Oryzias latipes: one gene and its partner. The protein of the gene in region 1 purifies or fractionates together with the protein of each later gene. This does not show direct contact. Links are inferred from orthologs where the notes say so. Each region holds a gene or a part of one and is shown in the gene's direction. Other genes may lie near its edges. The genes, in order: akap1 and cAMP-dependent protein kinase catalytic subunit beta.

What was found.
Region 2: the proteins of akap1 (region 1) and cAMP-dependent protein kinase catalytic subunit beta purify together in Homo sapiens (affinity purification with mass spectrometry; 4 studies listed by BioGRID and IntAct, counting the BioPlex papers as one, with this or other methods). This does not show direct contact. The link is inferred for Oryzias latipes from reciprocal best matches to the Homo sapiens genes AKAP1 and PRKACB.

What each region holds. Positions count from the first base shown.
Region 1 is NC_019871.2:30,776,619-30,780,432, forward strand, and holds the end of akap1 (A-kinase anchor protein 1, mitochondrial), read left to right. Parts: intron 1-302; coding exon 303-370; intron 371-574; coding exon 575-648; intron 649-722; coding exon 723-788; intron 789-1,875; coding exon 1,876-1,938; 3' UTR 1,939-3,664; downstream 3,665-3,814.
Region 2 is NC_019875.2:26,776,203-26,780,612, reverse strand, and holds the start of cAMP-dependent protein kinase catalytic subunit beta, read left to right. Parts: upstream 1-1,333; 5' UTR 1,334-1,577; coding exon 1,578-1,623; intron 1,624-4,410. UniProt on the Homo sapiens protein: Mediates cAMP-dependent signaling triggered by receptor binding to GPCRs.

The sequences.
Region 1 (3,814 bases):
GAGCATGTTTTCTACTACAAGGCTTTTTCATCAACCATCGGAAGAGATGGTCAGAAAAGCACTTTTAGGATGAATTTTCTTTATCAATGAGAAAAATGCCAACGTTAGGTTATGGGACTGGGTCTTCAGCTGTCCTCTACAGAGCAGCACGGATGGCGTTTTGGGACAGAACTGTGCATTACGTTCCCCTTTTGTTCTTCCATCATTCAGTGTGTCATTGCTTCTTGTGATTGTGTGCAGGTGAAGTCCAAAAGAGTCTGACCCTCATTAACCTCTACCTCTGTGGTGTTTCTTATCTTTAGATCCGACTTTGTGACTCTACCATTTCAAGGTGCAGAGGTGCTGCTGGACAACATCGCCCCTCTCCCAGGTACCTTGCTGGTCACTTTAACTTTTTTCTTCAGTCAAATCTCTGAATTGGAGTCGGGACGTTCATATTCGATCCTTTTTCAAAGAAGTGGTGGCATTTTCTTTGGCTGCCTCAGCCTCGCCGTCTGCTGGTGGTTTTCCCAGCAGGCAGCTTGTTTTCTCGTGGAACCACCAGCTGTGTAACGTTTGTGATCTTCTCCATCAGGGGAGGACCGTTTCTCCTCAGAGGCCACGTCGGCCTTTGAGGAAATCACCAGAGGTGTGGCCCTGCTGGCACAGGTGAGACAAGCGCCCGACTGAAGCCTCACCAGACCGGCTTCATGTAACGGCCCGATCCTCTGCTCTGTGTGAAGGTATCCAACTATGACAACAACACGGGGCTGCCGCTGGTCCACCTGTGGAACATGCTTGGAGAAGAGGTATGGCTCCTTGAGGTGATGCTGAGAGCCCTCCCATAGAGGCAGAGAGCCATGTGTGGCTGTGCACACACGCCTAGCTCCTGCCTCCGTCCTCACAGGACCAATGCTCTGGTGGCCTGTAGCACCAGGCTAAATTTGAGTCTGAATGACTGAAGATATTTTAAGGTTGAGGAGAAAAGCGACATCAGTCTGACGAGGAGAGTTTGCAGCAGCTGCATCCAAATCCCCTCCGCTGCCACTTATTGTCAGGCAAACATTGTCCTGTTTCCTGACCTTTGGCCTCCAGCGGTAAATGTCAGCAGAGATCCTGAAGAAGGTCTTCCGGTCCGTGTGCAGAATGGGACTTTCCCACAGCTATATGCAGGGCGACAGTGGATAGATGAGCTCTCTATACGTTATCGATGGAGACCGATGGACTATTTAAAGCTGCAACATGGAAATATGGCATCCTGGACCATATAAAGTGTATAAAATAACCTCACCAGTCAGTTCAGTCCAGCTGTAACAGTTCCCATAGTTTTCAGGCTGTAAGGTACAGGAGGTGAGACAGTCAGAACACAACTGTTATCAGTGACTCCTGATTGTAAAGGGGTTCTTTGACAGCTTCTAGACCAGGAAGCACTTAACTGCATCCAGACATACGATGAAGACTACAGCATGTGTGCTTGTATGTCTGCATGTCTACAATTCTTCTGTCTCATCGGTGTTCAGTGTTGTGACCAGAAAGACTCCTGGAAGCGGACTTTACTTTCTCCTTTTGGAGAAGGGGCACGGCGTTTGCTCTAAAGGAGGTAATGGCGTCAGCAAAAGGGACACACTTCTGGGTCACGTCACACAGGAAAGATCCTCCTTTAGAAGGAGAATGAGACAGAACCCTGCCGTCTGTGACGTTCGGCAGAGGTTCTGGGATGCAGAGGATTACAGGAGCCATTCTTCTCACACAGCAGGCCGTCTGACGGACATGGTAAAGCTAGTTTTGGCTCGTCCAGGTACACGGAGGAACACTCCTGGATGAGCCCGGCTCCCCTGGTTCTGTGTTGTGTAGGTCTTATGCAGACCCCCGTCTGATGCTGTGCGTGTCCTGCAGGTGGTCTCCGTGAACCGGACGTTGGCGGAGCGCGGCCTGGCTGTTTGGGTGGACGGGTTCTGAACCGGGATGTGGTTCCAGTTCCACACACTCCTCCCGCTGCTTCCAGTGGTCACCAGAGAGGGTCCAGGCTGTCCTGAGGACCCGACCCCACTACCACTGGGTCTGAGAGGATTGTCTCTTTGTTTTTTGTTTTTTTGTTTTCTCCCCCCTCCCCACTTATTCTTTGGAAAAGAAATTAAACTTTGTTTTCGGGCAGAACCTGCCGAGGCCGCTCTCCCTTGTTGTTCACAAACACTAAGAAAAAGGGACGAGGTCGTTTTTACAAAAAACTCTATTGTAACATAATAAAGGATGGTCAAATATTTTTTTAGCCCCCGTCCTGCGCTCATGTTTGCTCTGGGCCTTTGCACACTGTGACCCTCCCCCCTCAGCCCTGACTGTACTGGCTGTAGTGGGCCAGGTTGGTTCTGAGCTGAAACTTGGCTGTTGGGTGGAAGTTCTGCTGCCCTGAACGGGTCTGATGCACATCTTCAGAGGAAGGACAGCACAGACAGGCCTGGGGGTGGGGGGGTGTCACACTTGGACCCATCAATGAGCAGGCTGATCAGAACCACAATGACCTGCTGTTGTGACTTTTAGGCAGATGAAGGACTTCAGTCATTACTACATTGTGCAACCTCAGGGTATCCAGCAGAGGGCGGGGCCACAAACGCCACCTGCACAGGTGATAGTAGAAGAAAACAGCTTTAAGGGATCATGTCTGTCAGAGGCATTTCATTTACCAGAATCCGAGAGGAACCTAACCGCACCTAGTTTGTATGAATTGAAGTGTGGCTTTTGATCTGCAGAAGGAATCATGAACCAAAATATCCCAGAGTCCTTTCCTTCTGCCCCTCCATCCTTTCCCAGCTTTGACTCTGGTTTGCACACTTTAGTGTTGTTCCTCTGGTTTTAGCTCCGTTGGCAGCATCTGTATCCATTCAGTCAAGACACGGATGTTTAAAGTCAGAAGACGGCATCATCTGCAAACATGACAATCTCATTTTCATCCAGACGTCTGGATCTGGGACTTTTCACATTAGTCAGGTCTTCATTCCTCACAATAAATGCATTCTAGTAGTTGTAGTTTTCATCTGTCATATCAATCCCGATCCTGTCCTTGTCTCGCTCCGTCTCTGCAGCGTGTCTTTGCCTTCCGTTCTCTACAGTGCTTCATTTTCTTTCCAACTCATCAGATAGTTATTTGCCCTCCATGTGGGGTTGAAGTTCACACTCATCACACCGTTGATGCCCCCATTCAAATGGTTCCTGCTGATGGGGGCAGGAGGGCAGCTTTCTGACCCGTCTCTGGTTAGGGGAGGGGCATCCATGGACCTGTTTCAGGGCAGCTGAACTTTTACTGAAAAAACATTGGAGATCAGCTCCTCGCTTTGACCGCCACTGGGGTCTTTTGTCTCACCTCCAGCCCTAAACCCAGAGCCACACCCACCTTGTGATAAGCCCTACCCCTTCTTTGTAAATAAACCACTGACTGAACTTTTCTATGACAAAGTGCTCTAAAGGGAACTGAGTTTTGCTTCGGCTTGAGCCCCCCGCCCCCATGTCTGTCCTCCAGCTGATGCTGTCGGGTGTCGTGTGGCCCCACGACGTCTGCCCGGTTATTTAAGTGGCTGTAAGCAGGAGTGCCCCAAGGCGTCTGCTGTGTACAGTTGAGATTTTGTTAGTCCTCGGCTGCTTTGTGGATTGTACAGATGTACTAGGAAAGAATAAAGCTATTCAAAGACTAGTGTGCATCTTTGTGGTGTGTGTATGTGGGGGGGGGGGGGGTACCACCACCGCCACATTTATCATAACACGTTTACAATACAACAATAGCAAATGTCAGCTCCACGTCAGTCTCTGGATCAGTTGGAGTGACCGCTGATGTAGTTCATAG
Region 2 (4,410 bases), on another chromosome or scaffold:
AACAACGAAAGAACAAGCCAGGGGGTTATTGTTTCATTTTACGCAGATATATTGGAACTGACACACAGACCAAATGTTTTGATGGCTTTCTAATTGTCAGAGTTTCTTATTGTGTTAATGTATTGTTTGAACTCATTGATAAAGTTTGAGAAATGAGGGGTATGATTCGTAACTTTTGATTTATGAATGTGCCATTTGCATAAAAACAACAAAAGGTTAATGATGTACAATTGTTCTTTTTTATGAGATGGACAGTGGGTGAGGCCAAACATAACATTTTCTAAGTACAGGCGAAAGTCACGGTCAATGTGGGCGGAAATGAAATGACAAACTTTAGACCAGAGAGTGGTGGAAAAGAGACATGACCAAAATAAATGTACAACATCTTCAGGGTGTTCTTGACAGAAAGAGCAGGCAACATCAATATTTTCTTTGAACCTTTGCAGATATAGTTTGGATGGATAGAATTTTTGGATCAGTTTGAATGAGATTTCTTTCACTTTATTGGTTAAAAAGTATTTCGCTTTCCAGATCTTTTTCCATTCTAAATGACAAACTAAATTATTCCAAAAAGAAACTACGTAGGGAATGGAAACAACATCCTTCTGGAAGAGTGAGCGTATACGGTGATTTGTGTTACGTGAAGAAGAAAAACAAATTTGGCCTATTTCTATTTTAGTTGAATCAATTGGTAATAAAGTTGGACTCTGCAATGATGAGCTTTTGAATAACATAGTAATAGATTTAAGAATTGCTGTCAAAACAATGTTAAACTCAGTTTTTGGTATTTTGATGGAATAATTGAAGCAGAATTCTTCATGTGACATCAAAGATCCGTTTGAATTAAACAGCTGATGGACCAAAAGGATGTTTTGATTAAACCATGATGGATAAAATAAAGATTTAGGTCTATATGTAATGTCTTTATTGTTCCATATGTCGTATCTATGTGGAAAACAATGGTGTTTGTAAATAAGTGACAAGGAAAGTAACATTTGTTTATGGAAGCAAGAAAGCTTAATTGGGATCTTTTGTACATTATAGTTACAGAATAAAAGAAAGTTTATGCCACCTAATTTGGAGAAAATGTAATTTGGTATGAAATTCCAGATTGAAGTTGGATTCTTAATAAAATGTCTCAAATAAAAGTAAAGCAACTGCAAAGTACGAGTCTAAAAATGCGGAAGCAAGCCCGGATTAGCATCTTGTCACCGACTCGTGGAGCCAATCCGAGCCCACCGTGAAGGCAGCTGAGGGCCGGGGAGCAGCTTAGTCACACAAACACCAGTGACCGCTAGCTCCATGCCAGCCGAGCAGGCAGCAGCCGAGTAGCAGCAGCGGAAACCGTTCACGGGGAAGGAGGAGCGGGAGAGGGCGCGCGCGGGGACCGCCGGAAGGGACTCCAGACATCACCTCCCCTCATTTCCAGTAGAAAGCGAGAGTGGTTTGTCCGTTTCACCGGAGGAAACGCCAAGACCTCCGAATCATCAAGTGGAAGGGAGGTTAGCTAGCCTGCACCGCCGTCGCCGCCGCCATCTCCTCCTCTAAGTCGGAGCGGCCGCCGTGTCTTCCACACCATGGGGAACGCCGCCACAGCCAAGAAGGGCAACGAGCTGGAGAGCGGTGAGTGTGCGCCGGGAGCGGGCCGCCGTGTTCCGCTAGCATCCACCATCAGAGACGCCGGTGACACTTTTTTTACAGCGGCGACGCGCTCGTTTGCTGGAAACCGCTGTAGAGGCGGTGAGGGCCGGCCGCTAACCCGACTTCATTCCTCCGTTATCTGCCATCTCTGCGCGAACCCGTCCCTTCTCATGGCGTGAAAAAAAATGTTGTTGTTTTTTTGCACATTATTGAAATCACAGTATTTAAAGAATTAGTAAGTTGTTGGAAACCCCGAGACTGTGTTGCTGTCTTGCATCCCGGGAGTGGGGAAGAGAGAAGCAGAGAGACGAAGTAAAAAACACGCTGCTAAAAAAAGACGCTCCCGAAAGATATGAATCTTAATGAATACCCAAAATGTTATAATTGAAAGTTTGTGTTGGCTGCTAGTCGGTAACGAAATCTGGAGAGGAGCTAGCTTGCTAACTTTAGCTTTGAAGGGGGGGGATTAGCCCTCATAAGGCCCCTCGTTCCCCCTTGGAAGCTATTTAGGGCCGAGACCGTTAGCCCCGGCGTGCGGTCATTTCCTGTGTCCGGCCTGAGGCCGTTTGGTTGGCCGTGTTTACATTGAAGGCATCATCACCTTCGCGTTGTGTCATCCCGGGCTTCTGTCTCTGCCTGACAGCAGGGGGATGTGGCTTTCGCTGTGCCTTTTGGCTGCGGGCTCACCGCCACCATCATCATCATCATCATCAGCACAGAGCCAGCTGTTGAACAGAAATTTGGATCTCGAATCTCCAGTAAAACTTAACTTTAAATGAAGCCCAAGAGCCGTGACTAATTGGAGTAAACGGGCGTTGCGGTTCACTTTGAAGTCGGTGAGCAACTGCCCCCCCCCCCCCCCCCCCCTCTGGCTTCAGTGCCACGTTTTATTCTTAGGCGCATAAACAAAACATTCCCTCTGTACAGCGCCATGACCAAATATGGTGAAGAAATGACAAATCCCTTCTTTCCATTCATAAAACGGGGGCTTACTACTGCCTTTGTGGCAGATGTGTGCACACGCTTAAGAAGAAGAAAAACAAAAACCCAACACCATCGAACCCCCCCCCCACTTGTGTTTGTGTTGAAGCTCTTCTCTAATCTTGCCGTGGTGAAGGTCCATCAGGGCTCACTTCTCACACTCGGCTTGTCATTGACTGGAGCAGCTTGTCATCGGACCTTCGTCAGAGGATAAGGGGGTATTACAAGCTTTGAAAGGTTTGACGTAACTGGACCTGGGCCAGTGTTACTTTACGCTCATATAGTCTGATGTGTGCAGCTGATCATCATTGAACACCACAGTAGTAAATCAGAACTGTTTCCTCATACCTGGTCGTAAACCGTGAAAGTTGTTGAGATTTATTGTGTTTTCTGATGACCACAAACGTACGAATACGATGGAAAGCACCTCTTCTTTTTCACAGATTTTTTTCTTCTTCTTCATATTTTTGATAAAAGATCAAGGTTTTGCTGTGACTCTGCTTAAAATGCTTGAACCAAGAATCCAACCAGCAGCCTCTCCGGAGACAGAGATGATCAGATTAGTGATGGAATCGGGACTCTTTTTCTTTTAAACGCACCTGTGATCCCCGTATCTTGTGCGGCGGCTAACTGTTAAACCTGTTTTAAGATGACACGGTGCCCTGACTGGCAGATTTGTTTCTAGCGTAGCTGCTCCCGACAAACAACCAGGTAACCTACAGCGCCTGGTGTTTACTGTACACTAAGGTCAGTGGCTGCAACAGTTAGATCATCAGCGCAGTCACGGATGGACAGCAAGGTTTAACTTGTGCCGCCATGACACCGATGGCCTTTCACAGTACCCGTGTTTCTGTGTTTTTCTGGTTTGACAGGAAAAGTAAACAAAACTCATTAAACAATTTACTTTTTCTTTTAACCCAGAAGAACCCAGACCCACTTTTCCTTAAAAATAAAAGACCAAGCGGACCACTGAACATATTTTTTGGTGTGTTTTTCTGTTACACTGATGTCACCCCCCGGTTCCTATAGATGAAATATGTTTATTTGCTTTTAAAAAATGTCAGCAATATTTTAAACTACCTATGGATTTTAAATTGTGACGTGAGAATCACGTTCCCTCATTCCTGTCACTTGAATTGGTCAAAAGCTTGACACATATTAAGAAGTGCTGTTTCCTGTCAGAGAGTAGATAATCGTCTACGTTCATGTTTATCGTTTTTAAAATCTGCACAGTGGTCCCTCGCTATATATCGCGGTTCATTTTTCGTGGTCTCGCTGTTTTTTTTCCAGCTTTTTAGTGCAATTTTGCATTCTTTTTCTTTTTACAGCACATTGTATCCTGATTGGCTGTAGACGATTATCAATCAATCTCTGTGATGTTTCTTCTATACAGAATGCGTTCAGCTTGCAAGATTTGCAAAAATCTCCAATCTCTAGCAGATCTTTAGTTTCTTTCTTTAATACTGGATTCATTTTTCTACAATGGGGGTTTATAGCCTTAAAACATCTAGAATTATAGCTAAAAAATAAAGTTGACTACTTTGTGGATTTGACCTCTCGTGGGTGTTTTTAGAGCATAACTCCTGCGATAAACGAGGGATGACTGTTTTCAATGTTTTACATATTTTATTTATCCTCATTTCATTTTTTTCATTGCAACATTGCATGTGTTGTTGGTAAAAGAGTGGACGAAAACGTTTTACAGGTCTGACAGGATGTGTGGTTTTACATATGTGTTTTGCAGAATTTATCTCTTCAATCTGATCTGATATGCATGTCTTAGGTTTC